Linked DNA regions of Drosophila melanogaster. The protein of the gene in region 3 interacts with the protein of the main gene of each other region in a pairwise test. Each region holds a gene or a part of one and is shown on either strand. Other genes may lie near its edges. The genes, in order: CG14625, Yp1, Dip-B and DNAlig1.

Region 1 (5,927 bases), on a different chromosome or scaffold from region 3:
CTGGGCTGGCGATTAATCGTCCAAATCTCACGTAACAACACATTTGACACTCTTTTCTGCCATTTACAACAGATTCTTACCCGTACAACTTGTGTTCCTATATAAAACCAGAATGCAAATGCGGTGGATGTACTTCCACCAAGAGAAAGAGTTAAATTGCAAAAGAGGAGGCACTTTTACTGTGACTTACCCAATCCGAGGCTGAATCTCTGGATGTTTCAATCAGTTCGTTCATTGGGTGGATGTGGGCGGCTGCCTTATAATTGTGCGCTAAAATTATTAATTACATCACACACACACACACTCAAACACTCACACCCACACATAGAGCGAAGAAATGAGACGAATAAAAATCGAAACTAAAAAAAAAAAACTGATCAACAGAGGCGGCATTCGCACTTTTCCAAGCAGTTCGAATTTTTGGATAGATATAGAAAATCTAGTTCATGGGGCTATCATGATAATGGAATGAAGTCTTGAGCTATTTAAAAATGTCAATGGATAAGCGATAGTTTTTATTTTAAGTTATTTCATTAATTTGTTTATTGGCGTAATTTGTTATCGTCTGTTTTAGTTGGCTACCACTTCAGCAGTTGGTGGCCATACAATAAATAATCGTACTTACACTTAGATTCTACAAAAAAAAGACAATAGCATATACAATGAAGCATGCTCGAAATTCTGGCATAAAATAAGCTATGAGGGTGGTGGTGGAGTTTTGCGGCTTATTCGATTGATTAATCGAGGGATGGGGTTTACTATTTGGGCGGTGGCCTCAGAGCCAAACTGGCTTCCAAGTCCTTGACCTCCGATGAGCGCAGTTGCTTCTTAATCGCCTCTTGTCTGGGATGACCGCCTCCCCCCCGCTTGCCGCGCTTTCCAGCTCCGGTCCCCGTGTTACTGCCTATGCCAGCCACGCCCCCCGACCCGGCACCGCCTGCTGGTTGACCTCTGACCTTGTACGTGTGCTGATAGCCGTAGCCCTCGGGATTGTTGTTGAACTTCGGACTGTAGCTGTCGTATTCAAGACTCGGGTGCTTGTTGCTGTTGCTGTGCGAGTGGGCGTGGCCATGGGTGTGCTGGTGGGCGTGGCCGTGCGCGTGGGACAACCAGGGCTCATGATCATCTAGTAGGGTTTCCTTCTTCAGCACATAATGATAGGGATAGCCTTCTTCGTTAAGGATTAGTTTTGATTCATTCTCAGTCTCTGCTTCCGGCTCGGCAAAGTAACCGGATGAGGAGTAGCCTTTGTAGTCCGGATGCAGTTCCCCGGATGACCCGGAAGCCTTGAGCTTGTGGCGATATTCCTGCAGAGCTGCCTCTTTACTTTTGTAGGGCAAGGCATTGATGTCATGATAGATTTCCGAATTGAAATACAACTTGTGCTGCTTGCCAGAGTTTGTAAGCCTCTCCTGATCTTCCCGAGAATCACGCTCCCTTTCCCTTTCCCTTTCCCGCTCCCGTTCCACTCGATCTGGAGTGGGAACTACGTGGGATAGATCGAATTCTTCGATGTTCTTGAGGGCCGCACTGTGGTCAAAGTGCTCGGCACTTTTCAGAGGCAAAGTGTAGGGCTTCGAAACCGTCTTCACTGTGGCCGTTTGCAGGGGAGCTCGGGTCTTGATTTTGTAAATAAACTCCACATTCGGACTCAGTTCGTCGACGGGCAAATCGGGGGCCTGATATGCCGTTTCCGTTTCGGACTGAAAGTGCTGAATGGGCTTTGAATTCGTTATTGCCAATGAAGAGCCCCTCAGTTTTCCGGCTATTTGGTGGCTGTGGTGCTGTGGGTGGAGCACCTGCTGCTGGTGGTGATGCAACTGTTGTTGTTTTGTCGTTGGTGGGACCGTATACTTGGGCCTCACTGTACTGCTGCTGTAACGCTTTTCCTCCGAGTGTGAATGCGAGTGCGACGAGGGAATGGAACCGGAATGGAGACCAGATGAGAGCGTCTGCGACTTGTAGTAGGTCTTGGTAATCGGCGGAGGCGGTGGTGGTGGAGGAGGCGTGGCCGTCTCTTGGGGCGTACTTATGATTTTACCTTCGGCCTCTAGTTCCTTCATGTACTTGATCACGGACTTTTCAATCTGTTTCATTATCTCCGATTTGGGAATTTCCGTGGAGGCAGAGACCCTGACTTTTTCCTCGGCCTCGGCCTCGAGATTTCTGTAAATTTGCGGCGGTTGATAGGGGGCGTAGATGTTGTTGTAGTTATTGCTGTACTTGGGACGATAGTGGCGTTCGATGTCTTGCTCTTGGGCCTGGACATGGGACTCGTCCTCGGTTGCGTGTTCGTAGAGTTCATAGCTCCGGGTCACGGGTTCCTTTTCGTAGACTGGCGCAGGCGCTAGGGCGGGCGACGGCGGAGAAGAGGAGGACGACGATCCAGACGAGGATGGCGACGAGGGTCCTGAGGACAGGAGCAGGGCCTGCTGATGCAGTTCCTTCTGCAATTGCATCTCCAGGATCTCCCTATCCCTTCTCTGTTCCTGGTAACTTCTCTGGGTGGTAGGTTGCTGTTCCTTTTGCGCCTGGATGTGGTTGTTGCTAGGGTTCTGAACTTGGCTTTGACCTCGCAGTTGAGTCGGTGGCTGTTTGTAGGCCAACTTGATGGCATTGGCCACATACTCGGCTGCCGATTTAGAGTCTTCTAGGTTGACATACGCTCCGGATCCGGATTCTGCGGTCTGCTTTGGATGCGATTCGTGCTCTGGGCGAACGAGATTTAATTCCACCTGGCCAAAGCTGTAATCTGGGAAGTATACAATGCATGTCGATTGCGGATTAGTGCATACTTTTAGGCTTGCCAAACAAAATGGGACGGTTTATTACCTTTGCTGGGCGCCTCCTTTAATCTGCTTTGTGTAACCGATCCCCGCCTGGAGTAACCACGATCGTCGGAGCCCCTACGGCTAGCTGCCATAGCCAGTTGATCGGGAAAGGCCTTCTCCCCAGTCACCTCCAAAGAGGACACCGCTCCTGAACCTCCCGATCGACGGCGACTGTTCCCAGACGTGCCTGAGGTCACAGTCACGGCACTGCAAAGCGTCGACATCTGTTCAGAGAAATTAGAAAGAATCACAGCTATTTGAAAATTACATAATCGGAGATTCGCATGGCTTACAATAAAAACCGTACATTAAAATAAAATGAGTAAAACGATAGGACAAACAAGGAACCTTGGCCAACTGATGAGTGTGCCATTTCAACGGGTGCTAGTTAGGCGAACTGCCTTAAATTGGCCTCTTCGTTTCAGACTCATTGGCTTGTGCCTACTTCGCAATTAAACTAATTAAACTCCGCCAATTCGCTTTCGCTTTCAAGGAGGAGAAGAGAAAGAAAAGGAGAAGGAGGAGGCGGTTGATAGTCAATTTCTGTATGATTGAGTTGGCGGCGCTCAGTTGGCCAAGTTCAATGGACCGTTTTCCAGAGGAGAGGGCAATGACACACCGGCATGAAAAACCCGCAGCACGCAATTGCGAATCGCCAAATGGATCCTTTTCGATCGAAATGGGAAAAGAATTTGGCGATTATGTATCAAAAACGTAATTCTCAGTCATTCGGGACATATTTTCCCAAAAAGGCTAATCTTTTTGGTCTTTGTTTAAAAATTTGGTGTTATGTTCCGAAATGTAATTTTAGCGGGATAAGCTTCAGCAGTTCATTACTGAAGATTCAAATATTAATGTTTTTAAAAAGTTTTAATTGAGTATTTTTACATATTTTTTTCACTTATTTTCGTTTTTTATCGTAAGATACATTTATATATATTTTTTTACATATTTATTTATATTTTTTACAAATTTATCACTCTTCTTCACTGAATTATTAAATAAAAAAAATCTCATTTTCAAATGGGCTGTTTTTTTACTTCTGGAGATTCTCTCGAGTCCAACATTTATGAATTTTCAAATACATCACTACACTTTGGATCACTGGCCACCAAAAAAAAAGGTACTCCTCGTGAATCGAATTATCCGAATCCTTGGACGTGAGCGCACTACTTACGATGATCAGCAGACACAGGCACCATTGCCGCCGGCTGAGAATGTTTGCTCCCATATGGACAAGGTGGTGCTCCTGATATTGAAGATTACGGAATCGAGATGTGAGCGCTGACATCATGGCGCGCCAGAGTCTCAGCTGGAATTGTTAGCGGCCAGCTGTCGAGGCGAGGCTTTTATAATGATGCGAACCGCTGCAGCGGAAAATTTATGCGAATGTGCGCGCCAAAGAAAAGCGAGAAAAGTGCAAGTGCAAGCGAAGAGAGAGAGACAGTTGGAGATAGAGAAGGGGAGAAAGATCGCTTCACTTTCGATGACAATTCGAATCGTAATAAGCCATCGACGCACAACACGGCGTATGCGTGATAAGTTCGCCCATTATAAGTCGATAAGGTGCAACAGAGAAGGCGATAGGCCAGCACGAAAGAGAGAGGACAACGGGACAACTGGTTTATAGTTTTTAGTTTCTTGGCTTCAGTTTCGGCCTCTGTTTAAGCTGCCACTTTGATGGCCAATTAAGCCATAAGCTAAGCCAAACAATCCCCATTCCACCACAGGCAGTTCAATGAAATGTTTGCCGGCACAGGTGGGTAATACCCGTAATTGACTTGTAAAATCCTCGCCACCGAAGGCATTTATTGGGTTAAACGACAAATAGTGGACAACGGGCAGTAGTCACTAACCCACTCTGGAGTGGAGTCCGGAAAGCAGCAGGACTTTTGCAAGTCCAATGACTCGACAGGGAGCCTTTAGCACCCTTTAAATTAAACTTGAAACAAATCCATTAACACTAGATCTGTCTTATTTTATGTATTCTTAAATTTCCCCATTTGCTGTATTCTCACAGTGTTTACATTGCGGGCAGTCGGTGGTTGGTCGTGGCAGATCTTCACTCGGTGGTTGGCTTCATGGTCACTGATTCAGTGCATAATAATTAACAAGGAGCCCAGACAAACGGAGAAAAGTGTTCGCTGATTTATGATGATTTTACCGAAAGAGCAGCAGCAATTGCCGTTGCCGAAAACCAACAGCGATGATTTCAATTTCGATAAAGAGATCCGGACTTAGAGAACTGGGAGTACGCCTTGGAATAACTTGCCAATTGGCATTTCATTGATTTCCCTTACGTGCTGGCCGGGGATTTCTTTATTGCGGACTATGGCGCTGGCCCACAGGGCGTATGATTTATATTTTAATATTCTGCATGAGAAGCGAAAAACGAAACTGAAACTGAAAATGAAACAATTGCCACACTTAACACTAACGATAATAGCCGTAATAATAAAAGCGAAACAACTTTGCAGCGGCTAAAGCAAAGCAAAACAAAGCTGGCAAAGCGTTTCGGCTCCTCCACATATGTGCAGATCAACAACCTTGTCAGCAGTCGAGTGCGATTGCCATAGGTACATAGATACATATAGCCATGGCTATCCATGCCCCGTTATGCGGCCAAAAACTGCAGAAACTACCAAATCCACTACCAGCTGCCAGCTGCCAAAGAAACAGCTGTGGCAGCCGCACCAGATGAACAGTCTCAATACCAATTGATTTGCCAAGGATTGGGTTTTTAATTCAATTTAACTAATTCAATCAAAGATTTAACTGCGGCTTGAAATGTATCGTAAATGTATTTAAGTTCTTCATCTCATACATCTTCATACACCGATCAGCATTTATTTATTTCTTTAACTTTCCTATTGCCTTTGCTGCACTGTGGCAGCTGCAACGCTTCGACAATGCTGAAAAATGTTATGTTTGTGGATCGGATTGCTTACATCTTTCATCTCCCACCCTGCCACACATTGTAAAGCAATTAGTTGTTTATAGCCGGAGCTGGTATTTTCTTTCAAGATGATCGTTTAGATCTGAAAAGTGACCTCTTCTGCTGCTAAAAAACGCAAGTTCTGGCCAGAGAGATCAGAA
Region 2 (4,074 bases), on a different chromosome or scaffold from region 3:
GACACTTTGGCCTGCGCTTTTACCAATATTTTTGTGGCCCAACTTGGCCCGAACTCCTTGGTTCCAACAATATTTTGCATTGATATGCTAGAGCTACCAACAAGTATATAGTATTAATATTTCTAACAATTCGGAATGTGCACTTAACTAAGCGAAGATTGAAACTAAAAATCAGAAGATGGAAACATCCTATTTAAATAGGTGGAAGTTTAAATAAGCAAAAGTCTCTCGCCTAAGCCCTGATCCTAAACTCTTGGCTGTATTTCTAATTGTTATCGCTTCATGTTGAGGTTTATTGTTATAACGCCAGCCTCCCATGAGCAATACTCCCCCCAAATTACCGTAAACAAATTATTTTCTAATCTGAGCCCAAGCCATAAGTGGAGAAGATTAGACCTCAACACCACAAAAACACCGACAACAATAAAATAAATCTAAGTTTACAAAACCAAACTACGATATTTACTTTTGATTTTGTTCCCTTTTTTTTGGGATGATCTATTAGACTATTATAGTTCCTAAATGATTTAAGATAAACAAAATAGATATTTTTAAGCTCTTTATCGAGCGTTTATTTGCTGAATTTCGCGATGTGCTCGTTAAATGTTTAGGTAATCTCAAGAAAAGGGCCAATATGGGTTCAACTTAGGGACTACAGTGTTTGTGTGGTTGGGTGGTTGTTTGTTGTTTGGTAGTTGCCATTCCAGGTGTCCAGAGTAAGCAGACTCATCCTTACTGGTAGTCCTTGCTGTCCTGGTTGGTGTTCCACGCCTGGTGGACACCGTGGTAGCTGCTCTGCTTCTGGGCGGGTGCGTTGCGGCCGAAAGGAGACTTGGGGTTCACCTGCAGAATGTAGTCACCCTCGAGATCGTGAGCGGTATCGATGCCCATGTAGGCACGCTTGCCGAATCCATCGTTCTGCTTGTACTGCTGCAGGGAGTTGGCTGGCACGGCGGGGAAGCTCCTCTCGTTTCCGGGACGCACGGACTCGGCGAAGTAGCGGGTGGCACGCATGGCGGCCTCCACCACGTTGCTGGCTCCGGGAACACCGGCGGCAGGTCCATTGGGATAGAAGTCAACATCACCGGAGCGGATGGGGGTGCCCATGCCGTAGACCGAGGTGTGGATGGCGTCAACGAATTCAGCATCACCGCGAGCCAGACCGGTCAGGGTGTTCTTGCTCTTGGCCACGATCTTGGAGGGATCCAGACCGGTGACACGGCGCAGCTTGTGTCCGGTGAGACGGGTGAATTCCTGGGCAGCGGCACCGGCAACATGGGCACCCACATTCTGGCCAATCAGGTGAATGGTATCGAAGGGCATGTCCAACTCGTTGACCATCTGGACGATCCACTTGCCGATCTTGGCGCCGGTCTTCTCAATGTCGAGCATGGCATAACGCTCATAGGTGTTCAGCTTGGAGCCCAAATCGATCACAATGATGTCGCCGCTTTGGGTCTTGGCGTTCTTAACCTCCTCGCTGTAGTCCTCCTCGCTGCTGGTCCTCTGGTTCTTCCTCTGTTCGTTGCTCTGATCCTGGTAGTCCTGGTTGCCGTTCTTGCCGTGCTGGCGCTGCTGCTGCAGATTGTAGCGCTGCATGTAAGCCTGAACCAGCTTCCTGGTCGCCTTCTTCACGGTCTCGCTGGTCTGGGGCAGTCCGGTCACAATGATGGTCACCTCATCCTCACCAAAGTTCTGCTTCTGCTTCAGGCGCTGGATCATCTCGTTCAGGGGAGCAACGGTCTTGTCACCATTGGGCTTGGGCACATAGACCTGGATGCCGCTGGGCACATAGTTGGGCTCAACGTTGTGGTGGATCTGCGACAGGTGGTCTACAAAGGATATATATATTCCATAGAATATTCGATGTTTTTTTTTTTTTTTTTTATCTGCATCTAGGATTACTCACAGACTTGCTGCAGCAGCTCGGCGCCACGCTCCAGGTTCATGTTCTCCAGACGCTCAATGGTGAAATCGTCGAGGGCGGGAATGGCCTCCAGCTGGGATCCGGAGAGCCACTGCGACGGCTTCAATGCCTGGTTGACGGAGTTGTCCATACGGCCATTGGGCTTGGCCAAGGCGGCGACCGCCAAGCAAGCCAGAAGGCTCAGCACTCTCATGGGGTTCATGGTTCGGATTTGGGATTTGGTCCTGCGGATGCGACTTCAACACTGAGTGAGTTGAACTGGCCTTCCAAATCCAACGATGGTGGTTTATATACCACAATTTGCGCTGAGCGATTTCCCATTTTCTGACTCGCTTTTCGCTGGCTCAGGCCTTAATCGGTCACTTGTGCTGAGTAAGGGTTTTCGGGTGCCTGGGAATCGGATGAGTGTATATGCTATCGATAGCGGAATAAATTGTATACATACAAAATAGACACGGGGCCTACCTATAGCTGACCCCACTGATGACTTAGCAGCACCTGCTGCCGCCTGATTATTTTAATTTGTAATCACTTTGTAGGCTCCGCTGATTGCAACATTGTAGTTGTGCACCGGATTTGATCAAATAAATGCATAAAATATAGATCTAACATGGGCATTAGTTGGTTATTATATACAACATTTTATTGATTTTTTTTGTTTATAAGTAGATTTATATTTGGCACTTTTCTTCTGCTTAATTAAAAGTCCATAATTTTGCATTTTCAATTCAAGGCCGATACAGTTCATTGATTCCTAGATGTTTGCCATTGATACGAAAAGTATGGAATGTTTGTAGTTTCCAAGGCAAGATAGTAAGATTATATTTGTTTTTGGACTTTAGAAATGAATTGATTCAGGGGAACGTTTTTCAAGGAGATTCTATTTTAATATCCGGGATTCGTTTTATAATATATGATCTTATCGATGCTATTTCATGTAACTCATTCTACTTATTAAAAATATATGTATATTTCGATAGATGTAAATATTTATATTTATAATATTATAATTTATAATATATTTATTTTGCATTTCCCTGAAAGTGCTATCTGCTTATAGAACAATTTAGACAATTCTTTTGGCAAACACTTAAATAGTTGCATAAATTTCACAAAATTGCCAAATATTTTTTTCAAACAAAAGCTTTATCTTGACCTGTGCATGAGTTCAAGTCGTGCCCCCACTGTCAAGCCCCTTAATGGCCAGACCACCTTTTGTTTATGTTATGAAAGTGCTGGTTAAAGAAGTTTCCCATTACCTGTTACCCGATGGATACTTAATAACCAAAAAAAAAAAAAAAAAAGGGGAACGAAATTTTAGAGCTCATCAGAAGTGTTGCAAAATCACTGACGCTGCGAATCAATGCATTTGTGCTGATCCAGAAATCGGTTGCTGAAATCAATTGCTTCCGGCGCGTGCATTATAGTGTGTATAGACTACCGATTCCAAGGGGTATAAAATGCATTGAGTCGCAGCAGTGGGTATGCAGTACAATTTGGTACGGTGTCTGAAAAAGTCGAACTTGGAAGCCACAATGAATCCTCTGCGCACCCTTTGCGTTATGGCCTGCCTTCTGGCGGTCGCCATGGGTAATCCCCAATCTGGTAACCGTTCCGGTCGCCGATCCAACTCCCTGGACAATGTGGAGCAGCCCAGCAACTGGGTCAATCCACGTGAAGTCGAGGAGCTGCCCAACCTGAAGGAGGTTACCCTTAAGAAGCTGCAGGAGATGAGCCTGGAGGAGGGCGCTACGCTGTTGGACAAGCTCTGTAAGTTCAAGGATCTCTAAAAGTTCTACCAATCATGTTATATTTACACGCACTATCCTATCCCGCAGACCATCTGTCCCAGTTCAACCATGTCTTCAAGCCCGATTACACCCCGGAACCCAGCCAGATCAGGGGCTACATTGTCGGCGAGCGCGGCCAGAAGATCGAGTTCAACCTGAACACTTTGGTGGAGAAGGTTAAGCGCCAGCAGAAGTTCGGCGACGATGAGGTCACCATCTTCATCCAGGGCCTGCCCGAGACCAACACCCAAGTGCAGAAGGCTACCAGGAAGCTGGTGCAGGCCTACCAGCAGCGTTACAACCTCCAGCCCTATGAGACCACCGACTACTCCAACGAGGAGCAGAGCCAGAGGAGTT
Region 3 (5,935 bases):
GAGCACCCTGCTCTAGCTCAAGGCATCTCATCGGTCAACTTTGATATAGGGAACGTAGATCGCAGCCAGAATGTGGTCAAGGGAAAGGGTAAAAAGGGCGGAATGATCCTACAGGCGGAGTCCACCTTGGCACTGCTCACCACAGCAAATGGAGGGACTTACAAGGTGCCCAGCTGCATTCGGGGCAAGCTGGTAGAGGTGAACACCGCCATTGTGGAGGAGCCAAAGCTTCTGGAGCAACTCCCCGAGGGAGCCGGCTACTTCGCCATTCTTCTGCCCAAAATCGAAAACTGCGATGCAATCAAGGCGAGTCTTTTAACCCAGGAGCAGTATGAGGAGCGCCTAAAATCGAAAAACGAAGGTCTACCTCAAATTGAGTCCACCGGGGACCACGCTCAAAACAAAAATAAGGAGATTCAGGCGTGATTTTGACCCTTGTTTTGTTGTGCTTCTTCTATAAGGCCTTTGTATTTTAAATTAATGATTCATACATATATTATATTGCTCAAAGTCAATGAGGACTTAAATAATAATAATTTTGACAGTAAACCACAAATAATATTTTCTGAAACTTGTGAATTTTGTTAATACTTATGGTCAAATGTAATGTCGGGTCTACTATTTAATTTCCAGTAAATTTTATTTCTTAACAGCCTGTTAACTCCGGTGCATTTACAGAACTCTGCCCACTTAACAGCACGCTCCGTAATAGTTGGCAACTCAATGCAACACGTGTGGACGATAAACAGCTGTTCGGGCGGCAATTTAGTGGAAGCGAAACAAAACCAAATTCGTTAACTAAATCTTAAAAATGTCAGCTAATAAGCAAAAGAAATTGAGTACCATGGAGGTGGACCCCAACGAGGATGTCTCCAGTTCCAGCGAGGATGATGACGACGACGAACCGCATCCAGATGCCTATAAGGGAAACGAGGTAATCTAAGTGCCTCCAAAATATGAAAAGCAAATGTGTTTCAAAATTAATATCCGGCTAGGAGGTGCAAATCGACTTTGAGGGACGAGCTCCAGTAGATCCCGATGCCCAGGGAATCTCTCAACTCCTGCAGCGACTATTCCTTCGTGCCCACATCAACTGCAACCAAATGGCGGATTTGATCATAGGTGAGCACTCCAAGGTACTATCTTGATCTATCTATCAGCACAACTTTTTTTGTTTCCAGCCCAAAATTTTATAGGCAGTGTGATCTGCCAGTGCGACGACGAGGGCACCGAAAGCGAAACGGAGGACGACAACATGGTCGAGGATGGCACCATCTTTGGAATCACCTCTGTGCTGAACCTGACCGCCAAAAAGGATCAGCCCAGCATCGCCCAGTTAAGGACCTACATACTGGATCGCGCCAAGACGCACGCTTCTCCGGAGGTTCAGCAGCAGTTGAAGGAGATTCTAGACAGCGAGCAGCGCCATGTGGGATTCTTGATCAACGAGCGCTTTATCAATATCCCTGCCCAGATCTCCGTGCCACTGCTGCAGAGTTTGCAGCAAGAAATCGAAGCCGCCAAGGCCAAGAAAATGAAATACGACTTTGGCACTCTGCTGCTGCTGGTTAAGTTCTACAGGAAAGAGTCGAAGAAGGGCAAACCGGGCGAGGACGTGTACACCAACGCTGAGGATGAGTTGCTTTCGGATCGGGCTAAGTTCTCCTTCGAGTATTCCATGGCCTCTGAAACCGATTCGGGCATGTCTGGCGATTGGCTGGAAGGCGATGCCGTGATGACGCCCTACAGGAAACTCCTGGTCCTGGAGGCCAAAAAACTTCCGCAGCTTATTGACGATATACAACGCTTTATTAATGGCGAATAAATATTTTTTACATTTAAAACTGCTGTGTTATTTGGCCTTAATATAACACCCCGACAAATATCTAATTAAGAAGTAATAATGTCCGGTCTCTAACGACCGATAAGCTTCTATTTCTTTGTAGTCCCATACAAAGAGTATCAAAAATTCGAACCGAAAGCTTTCCACATCCTTTATGACAATTGGCAACGCGGGCAAACCACAAACAGCTGTCACTTGGCCGGCATTTGAAAGCTTCGCACATGCCGGCTGGTCTACTGTGAAAAAAAAACCTGGTTGCCATTCCTTTGTTTTTTGCCACTGGTTAGTTTTGGCCCAGAAACTGCATCCACCGTGGACGTGACTGGCAAGAGGAACCCACAATAACAATTCCGAAGACCGAGCGACGTGAGTAGACTTTGCCTTTATTGTTTACAAGTTATATCCGAGTTCTAGAATTACGTACATAGCGAGCATACTGGCGATTATTCATCGCTCGTGCGATTTGTTTTCATTCGAAAACGCAAGTAGCAATTAAAAAAAAAAAACCTAAAGCCCGGCTCGCTAGTAAAATGTATAAAAAGCTTGGCCACCCAGCCAGAACATTGCAAATCGTCGCGGAGAGCTATCACAATCGCTCCTTATCGCCAGCTTTCCGTTCCAGATCCCGCTCCCAAGTTTCCAGTTTCCAGCTGCAGCGCTTTGTTCCCATCAGGGAGGTTCAGTGACGCCCCACTTGCCGATCAACCAAGTCGCGTGAGCTGCCTGCGAAAAAGTACTCATCATGGGTATCGAAAAGTGAGTATTTATTACCAACAGTTATTAGAGGGTGTGTTTTAAGTTAGCGCGGATCAGTTATCTAGCCACCGCTTAGCGACCGATTGGAAAAGCTCTCAAAGATTCGCCATCTTTTACAGTGAGGGTTAGTCGCTTAGCATCCATCAATTGCTATCTTATTTACCTTTCCCATAATTCCAAAACGAAATTAGAATGTTTTTAGTACTGCATATCTCAGCGTTTATCAGTTTTAATTAGTTGCCGGCAAGGAATAGATGTCATGAAAATTCCAAACTTTATCTTTTCCCAAAATAAAAACAATGTTTGGCGAAATACTGTATAAAAGTTAAAGGGGGGAGGTCACTTAATTTTATCATTATTACTTAGATAACGAGTTCTTGCTACTTCTGGAAACAGATATATATAGATCAACTTTTATTGTTTGATATGGGGCACTTCAAAAGATAACACAATTAAATGGTCAGCGACATAGGATTATTCTCCAAAATATTATAGACCCAGTTACCTAAGGATTGGTATTTAGTAGAAACACTTGAATAAGATTACAAATATTCTAAATAAGTACTTTAACACCATTTGTGCTAATACTTGGTACACTTGTTTCTAAATTGGAAATCGGTTTGTGATTATGGTCATTTCGAAAGCTTATCGCGATTCTTTATAGCACTTCGAGTTAAGATAAGCCCAGCGCCAGGAATGAGGGTAAACGAAAGGGGAACACACTGAAACATGGCCATGGTTGCTCCTAATACAGTGGGGACATTTTCTTTTGAAATAATAAATTGAAATACAAAGGCAACAGGCTGTTATGCAATATGAACGACTGCATCAGTTAATAAAGCAAATGTGACGTGATAAAATTCAATTCAATTAAACGCTATTGCACATTTAGTTGACACCCAGAAATGTTTCTTAATGAATACCAATAACGATTCCGTTGCGCACTTTAACTCTACTCTACGTGTGCCCCTCCAGAATTCTACCATGCACCCTCCGGCTGAACAAGCTGATGAGTCTGGCCGGCAACGACTGCCTGTGCATCATCGATCGCAATGCGGTTCCCAATGAACTGAAGGCCACCTTCGAGGAGCACCGCAAATTCGACAAGTCCTTCGACAGCAGCATATCCTGCTTTAAGGTGCCCAACGTGGATCAACCTGTGGTCTATGCCCCCGTCTCCGAGCTCACCGACTACGACGATGTGAGGAGCTACCAGGAGGCGGCCAAGCGGTCCATGGAGAAGGTTCTCAAGGTGGGTTTTTTTTTTCTATACATATTGTGTGAATTATGAAAGAAAATGTATATGTATTCTTTGCCAGGCTGGATTCCACACGCCGTTGCTGTTTGTGCCCAAGGTTAAGCGCTTCCCCGAGGTCGAACTCTGCACCGTTCTGGGAGCTCTGGAGCAGCTTTATGTGGTAATATGGATTATGTTTACTTTTATTTCAATCAATGTGCTAAAACACGTTTTTTAGCCCATTCAATTGCGCGAGGCAGGAACTTTGAAGGACCCCCGTGTGACCACGCTCAGTGTCCAGATCGATGATCCAAGGGCCGAAGCTATTTTCCAGGAAGCTCTCATTCTGGAGGCCGGTCGCTTTGTGGCCCGCGACATCGGAGTTGGGGACCCGGAGCGCATGACGCCCATCCAGGTGGAGAAGTACATCAAGCCGTTGTTCGACAAGCTCAACGTGAATGTGATCAGTGACACCCAGGTGTTGCAGAAGGAGTATCCCCTGTTTGCCGCCGTAAACCGGGCTGCTGATGCAGTGGAGCGTCATCGTGGTCGCATCATTTTCCTGGAGTACAAGCCTCCAAAGCCGGCGAGAAAAACTCTGATGCTGGTCGGCAAGGGTGTTACCTATGACACCGGTGGTGCTGACATCAAGGCCGGTGGTGTGATGGCCGGTATGTCGCGCGACAAGTGTGGAGCGGCTGCTGTCGCTGGATTCATGCAGGTGGTCAGTCAACTGCAACCGGATGATATCCATGTTGTGGCTGCCCTGTGCATGGTGCGCAATTCCGTGGGCGAGGAGTGCTACGTGGCCGATGAGGTTATCACCTCGCGAGCTGGTCTTCATGTGAGGATTGGAAATACTGATGCCGAGGGTCGCATGTGCATGACCGATGCCCTGTGCCGCATGAAGGAGTTGGTCGTGGAGCAGAATCTCCCGGATCCGCATCTTTTCACCATTGCCACCTTGACTGGTCACGCCTTCATCTCGGCAGGTGAGGGTCAGTCGATTGCCATCGATAACAGCGTGGCCCATCGGGAGGATCACGCCAGAAGACTGCAGGCTGCTGGACAGGCCTTCGGAGAGCCCTTCGAAGTGTCCATTCTCCGTCCCAGTGACTTCTCTTTTAACGCTGGAAAGGTGATTGGCGAGGATTTGGTGCAGGCCAATAATGCCCCGTCGGTGAGGACTCCTCGCGGTCACCAGGTGCCCGCCGCCTTTATGATTAAGGCTTCTGGACTGGACAAACACGGGTTGGATTCAATGCTGCCCATTAAGTACACCCATATTGATATCGCCGGCAGTGCCGGTGAGCACCCAGCGATGCCCACAGCTGCCCCTCTTGTTTCCCTGGTGAAGACCCATCTGCAGAAGTAAATCATGTCCACCTAATATTCAGGAGGATGTGTACACGATCACCACAAACAGTACTTATACACCCACGTGCTTAGCTAACCAACAATATTATCCTACTAACTGCATCACTGTTTTTTAATAAAGGCAAAACCGAGTTCAGATTGTATTCATAAATGTATGTCACTAATTTGGTAATCGTTTACAAATAAATGTGAAAATGATTTGTTTTTTTCCTTAAGCTTACAAAGCAAATATCTCATTATATTCATCAACATGGAAATATAAACATTATATCATCCCATTATAGAGAATAACCACCCTACATATATTTGTTAAGTATACAAGAAAGCCGCGTGGGTATTCGGTCTTTTTTATTTCTTTTTTATTATTACTGCATTTCCCAGCTGCATTGTTTGCATAATTGGCGGGTGCCCTGCATTTCGAGCTCTTGTTGGCCATCTACGGTATGGCTCGTACTCCTGCTCTTCCCCTTTCGCAGCCTTTTCTCTTCAGCTTTGCAGCGCCTTCTTTTTTTGTAGCTTGGCCCACAGCCTAGAACCCGTTAGTCGCTTCTTGGCCATGCTCTTCGCTTTGGGCCCCGTTCCCGGGAGCTTGGCCCAGCAACTTGGCGTGGATTGGCTTGGTTGGGGGATGGGGATGTGGATGGGGCCCGCTTGTCAGCTGTCGCATGTGTCTTGGTACCGTTATTGCCTGGCTTTGGAAACTCGGTCAAGAGTGTCTCATT
Region 4 (4,778 bases), on a different chromosome or scaffold from region 3:
AAATCTACGACTGCCCTTGTCGGCTTACAGCTATTACATTTTGTAAATTAACTCGGCTTGAACTCGAACTCCATGCGAACAAATGAAAATATGGGCTGCAATTCGGAAATGTTGAATATTTCTGTTTATTGATATGTGGAGCTGGAGTCCAGCAGTAGATTGGAACAGCCGTTCAGGTAGGCCTTGTGCAGCTTGTTGGCAAACTCCTTATCGTTCTGGATAAGGTACGTGAAGGCCTGGACGAACTGCGTCGAGTTCAGCAGTGGCTGCTGTGGCTGCTGTGGCTGCTGTGGCTCCGGATTGCCGTTGTTGGGCGCGTCGAACATGGTGGGCGGCATGAGGGCCGGCCCGGGCTTGTCGCCAGCCAGCAGTCTCCGCAAGCACTTGCCGGCATCGTCGTTGGCCATCAGCGCCGACGAGGACGGGGCGACTGTCGGAGATTGAGCCGTAGCGTAGCTTTTACCGATCTTCAGGTCGCTCAGGAGCTGAATGTTAAGCTGCTGCATCTTCTGGAAGGGCGACAGCCGGCTCTCGTGATTGTCCCTGCCTGCCGGGGGCAACAGATCCTCGCCAGGCGTGGCTGCCCGCTGCTGTTTCTCCAGCTGGTCCACGGAGAGCGGCTGGACGCGGTGGAACAGTGACTCTGCCGTGGCCTGCTTGGCCGATTCGAAGAACTTCAACACATTGCCGGCCGTTACGTTCTCCGCCGAAGGCGTCTTCGGCTGCCCGCCGCTCACCTGGGCATTGTAGTCCTTCTGGGCCTTGGTCAGCATGTTGAATATGCTGGCCGGCTGGCTGCTGTCCTGCTTTGGCTGCTGGGGCGCGGAGACGTGACGCTGGGCCTGGCCATTCGTTCCCTGATCCTTGGACTTGAGCAGCCCGTTCACCAAGCCGCTGATGCGGTCGCACTCCTCGCTGTTGTAGAACCAGAAGCCGCGGATGCGCGAGCGCTCGTTGCGGTAGAGCAGGAACGGCGGCTGCGACTGCAGCTCCAGGCTGCCGGTGATGGGCTCCACGAAGGACGTGGTGTTCAGTCGGTTGTTGATGAAGATGCTGTGAAAGGGCTCCGCGTTGCGGTGGTATATGAAGAAGGCTCCCTCCACATCGGTCTTTTCCCACTCGTTCTGCGACGAGTTGAACGTGTAGAAGGCGACGTGCGAGGACGAATCCACGATCTCCTTGGCGTACGGGTCGATCTTCTTGATGGCCGCCAGGTTCATTCGCGTGATGCTCTCGTCGGCCATTGTAAATTGTATGTAATCTTCAGTTTTGGCTGTGCTATTGCGAATTGCAATTATTTGTGAATTTAACGGCGCTCTGGTCACACTGCCCCGTGGATGTTTTCCCGTGTTTATCAACGACTGTGCTGCGGTCACACCGAATGACAATAAACTCTTCCTTTTGTCTATTAATGATTTGTTTGAGAAATATTAAGTCGATTGACTTGCATATAAAAATGGCCACAATTGTACGTAATAATATTTCTCAATTATGTAGCATAAACATTTAATTTATGTTTACTAATAAAATTTTCAACTTCGATAGCATTTCCATTTCAATATATCGATACTGAAGACCAGCTCTAGAAACTGGCGGGAACTAATTGCATTGCAATTTGTATTTATTTGAACACAGAATTGCCACAAAATGCAAAAGTCTATAACGTAATTTACGATTTAACAAATGCTAAGTATTGCCAATCTAACAATCCCCCGTTTCAGCTCCTTCTTCAAGAAGAAATCCGATGCCACCGACAGCCCCTCGCCGCCCAAGAAAGTTCCTAAGTAAATGGTGCCGCTGTTTTCTTGTTTCATTACTAAATTCCTCGACAAATCATAGGATTGATGCGAAGACCGAACTCCCAGATGAACCCCACATCAAGAGCGAAAGTGCCTCCCCGGAAACTAAGCCCAAGGTAGAACCTATGTCTGTGGATTCCGAGGAGAAGACAAGTCCGGTGAAAAATGTTAAGAAGGAACCAAAGGAAGTCGATGACAAGACCACTGACAAGAAGGTCACAACCATAGGTCTCAACTCCACTGCCGCTACTAAGGAGGATGTGGAAAACTACGATCCATCCGCCGACTCCTATCATCCGCTCAAGAATGCCTACTGGAAGGACAAAAAGGTGTAAGTAGTGCAGGATTTTGAGCCTCCAAGGCGAATTATATCAAAGGAAACACTTTCCAGCACTCCCTACTTGGCACTGGCCCGCACATTTCAAGTAATCGAGGAGACCAAAGGCCGGCTCAAGATGATCGACACGCTGAGCAACTTCTTCTGCTCTGTGATGCTGGTCAGTCCGGAGGATCTTGTGCCCAGCGTCTACCTCAGCATCAACCAACTGGCGCCCGCCTACGAGGGACTGGAGCTGGGCGTTGCCGAGACCACCTTGATGAAGGCCATTTGCAAGGCAACGGGGCGTAATTTGGCTCACATTAAATCGCAGACGCAGCTAACCGGGGATCTGGGCATCGTGGCCGAGCAGTCGCGCGTTTCACAGCGCATGATGTTCCAGCCAGCGCCTCTGAATGTGAGGGATGTGTTCCGGAAGCTACGCGAAATAGCCAAGCTATCCGGTCAGTCGAAAATGGACCTGGTGTACAATATGTTTGTGGCCTGTCGATCGTCGGAGGCTCGCTTCTTTATCCGTTCATTGATTGGCAAGCTAAGAATTGGCATTGCAGAGCAGAGTTTGCTCACAGCGCTGGCCATTGGTTTGGTGAAAAAGAACCACATCGATGATTGCAAGGCTAGCAAGGTGCCGGATGTGTATAAGGATGAAATAGTCGACACCACTTTGCTGTTGAAAACTGCATACTGGTAAGAACTAACTTAAGAACCAGCTAATAATTCAGATGCTAACGAACTTTTGCAGTCAGTGTCCCAACTACGATATCATTATACCGGCCATTCTAAAGTACGATATTAAGGAGCTGCAGGAACGCTGCCCCATGCATCCCGGCATGCCGCTGAGGCCCATGCTCGCCCAGCCCACCAAGGGGGTCCATGAGGTATTTGAGAGATTCGGCGGCATGCAAATCACCTGCGAGTGGAAATACGATGGAGAGCGGGCCCAAATCCACCGCAACGAGAAGGGGGAGATCAGCATATTCTCGCGCAACTCCGAGAACAACACGGCAAAATATCCGGATTTGATTGCCAGGAGCACTGCCTTGCTCAAGGGCGACGTAAAGTCCTACATCATAGACAGCGAAATTGTGGCCTGGGATGTGGAGCGCAAGCAGATTCTGCCGTTTCAGGTGCTCAGCACGCGCAAACGGAAGAACGTTGATATCGAGGAAATCAAGGTCCAAGTCTGTGTCTACATCTTCGATCTGCTGTACATCAATGGCACTGCTCTGGTGACCAAAAACCTGTCGGAGCGTCGCAAGCTCCTGTTGGAGCACTTTCAAGAGGTCGAGGGCGAGTGGAAGTTCGCCACTGCTCTGGACACCAATGACATAGACGAAGTGCAGCAGTTCCTGGAGGAGTCTATCAAAGGTTTGCCCTGCCAACCAACCTAAAAGTTGTTTACTTAAGCTTTATTTCACTAGGAAATTGCGAGGGCCTCATGGTCAAAACATTGGATGAGGAGGCCACCTATGAGATTGCCAAGAGATCCCGCAACTGGCTGAAATTGAAGAAGGACTACCTATCCAATGTGGGCGACTCACTCGATTTGGTGGTCATTGGTGGCTACAAAGGCAAGGGCCGGCGAACTGGAACCTACGGAGGATTTTTGCTTGCCTGCTATGACACCGAAAACGAGGAGTATCAGAGCATATGCAAGATTGGAACTGGCTTCACTGATGAGGACCTGCAAACGCATTCCGAGTTTTTGGGCAAACATGTGACCAGCGCCGCCAAATCCTACTACAGATACGACCCCAGCCTGGAGCCCGATCACTGGTTTGAACCGGTCCAGGTGTGGGAAGTCAAATGCGCGGATCTGTCGCTCAGTCCGATCCACCGAGCAGCCATTGGCATTGTGGACGGAGAGCGGGGCATTTCCTTGAGATTCCCTCGGTTCATTCGGATACGCGACGACAAGAATAGCGAAAACGCAACGGACGCCAATCAGGTGGCCCACATGTACCAGTCGCAGGATCAGGTTAAAAATAATCAAAAGTCGAGCACACAAATGGAGATGGAGGACGAGTTCTACTGACCGGTCTGCTCCAGCCATGTGTACACGATTTATTTAACAATAAAAGTCTGTTATCGCTATTTGACGCTGGTGCTGCTCTCGGAGGATTTGGAGAAGCGACGAGTTTCGAGCTCACACTCCTTCACCTCCTTCGGTTTGGGTTTGTTGCGCCGATTGGGGCGTTTGTTCCTCTTCGAAGTCTTCTCCTCCACCACGGAAGCCTCTCCATCCGAGCCATCTTTGCCGCCTGCACCTTGGGGCAGCTCATCTGATGCACGAATTCGGGCTTTGGGCTGGTAAATGGCAATCGATGGTCGATCCTGTAAACATCAAGCGGGTTAGTAAAATGTCGAGGGGGGTAATAGGTGAGACCCACTTTATTCCGAATGCGCCGCTCCTCTGAAGCTCGAAATTGAGCAGCCTTGATGGCTTCCTCTGCAGTTTCGTGGGCGGAACCTGCTGGCTGCTTGTCTGCGCCGGTTCTTTTTTCCTTGCGACCACCTCTGGCAGCCGGTGTAAAAACCTTGACAGCAGCTTCTGGTGTCTCGGTGTTTTCAGTCGCAGGCTTTTCTTTCGAGGCCTCCGCAGCGTTAGAAGTGGATGGCACGTCCAAACTCTCGTTTGATTC

The links.
Region 1: the proteins of Dip-B (region 3) and CG14625 interact in a two-hybrid assay, tested with the Drosophila melanogaster proteins (one large-scale study listed by BioGRID).
Region 2: the proteins of Dip-B (region 3) and Yp1 interact in a two-hybrid assay, tested with the Drosophila melanogaster proteins (one large-scale study listed by BioGRID).
Region 4: the proteins of Dip-B (region 3) and DNAlig1 interact in a two-hybrid assay, tested with the Drosophila melanogaster proteins (one large-scale study listed by BioGRID).

Annotation. Positions count from the first base shown.
Region 1 is NC_004354.4:1,197,753-1,203,679, reverse strand, and holds CG14625 (uncharacterized protein), read right to left. Parts: upstream 4,135-5,927; 5' UTR 4,063-4,134; coding exon 4,009-4,062; intron 3,056-4,008; coding exon 2,833-3,055; intron 2,753-2,832; coding exon 759-2,752; 3' UTR 523-758; downstream 1-522.
Region 2 is NC_004354.4:10,051,972-10,056,045, reverse strand, and holds Yp1 (yolk protein 1), read right to left. Parts: upstream 2,236-4,074; 5' UTR 2,130-2,235; coding exon 1,910-2,129; intron 1,833-1,909; coding exon 733-1,832; 3' UTR 548-732; downstream 1-547. Other genes in the region: Yp2 (yolk protein 2), read left to right, coding at 3,463-3,697, 3,766-4,074. UniProt on the Drosophila melanogaster protein: Vitellogenin is the major yolk protein of eggs where it is used as a food source during embryogenesis. Along with Yp2 and Yp3, and their receptor yl/yolkless, required for maintenance of microtubule plus-end orientation towards the posterior pole of oocytes.
Region 3 is NT_033777.3:13,780,243-13,786,177, forward strand, and holds Dip-B (dipeptidase B), read left to right. Parts: upstream 1-2,045; 5' UTR 2,046-2,209; intron 2,210-2,397; exon of another isoform or gene 2,398-2,452; 5' UTR 2,453-2,585; coding exon 2,586-2,599; intron 2,600-3,574; coding exon 3,575-3,851; intron 3,852-3,918; coding exon 3,919-4,017; intron 4,018-4,074; coding exon 4,075-5,211; 3' UTR 5,212-5,434; downstream 5,435-5,935. Other genes in the region: CG9288 (uncharacterized protein), read left to right, coding at 1-426; CG9286 (uncharacterized protein), read left to right, coding at 812-934, 996-1,122, 1,182-1,825.
Region 4 is NT_033778.4:23,888,949-23,893,726, forward strand, and holds DNAlig1 (DNA ligase 1), read left to right. Parts: upstream 1-1,563; 5' UTR 1,564-1,647; coding exon 1,648-1,664; intron 1,665-1,721; coding exon 1,722-1,784; intron 1,785-1,839; coding exon 1,840-2,130; intron 2,131-2,190; coding exon 2,191-2,823; intron 2,824-2,878; coding exon 2,879-3,504; intron 3,505-3,557; coding exon 3,558-4,171; 3' UTR 4,172-4,227; downstream 4,228-4,778. Other genes in the region: DCP1 (decapping protein 1), read right to left, coding at 126-1,244; Upf3, read right to left, coding at 4,228-4,470, 4,527-4,778. UniProt on the Drosophila melanogaster protein: DNA ligase that seals nicks in double-stranded DNA during DNA replication, DNA recombination and DNA repair.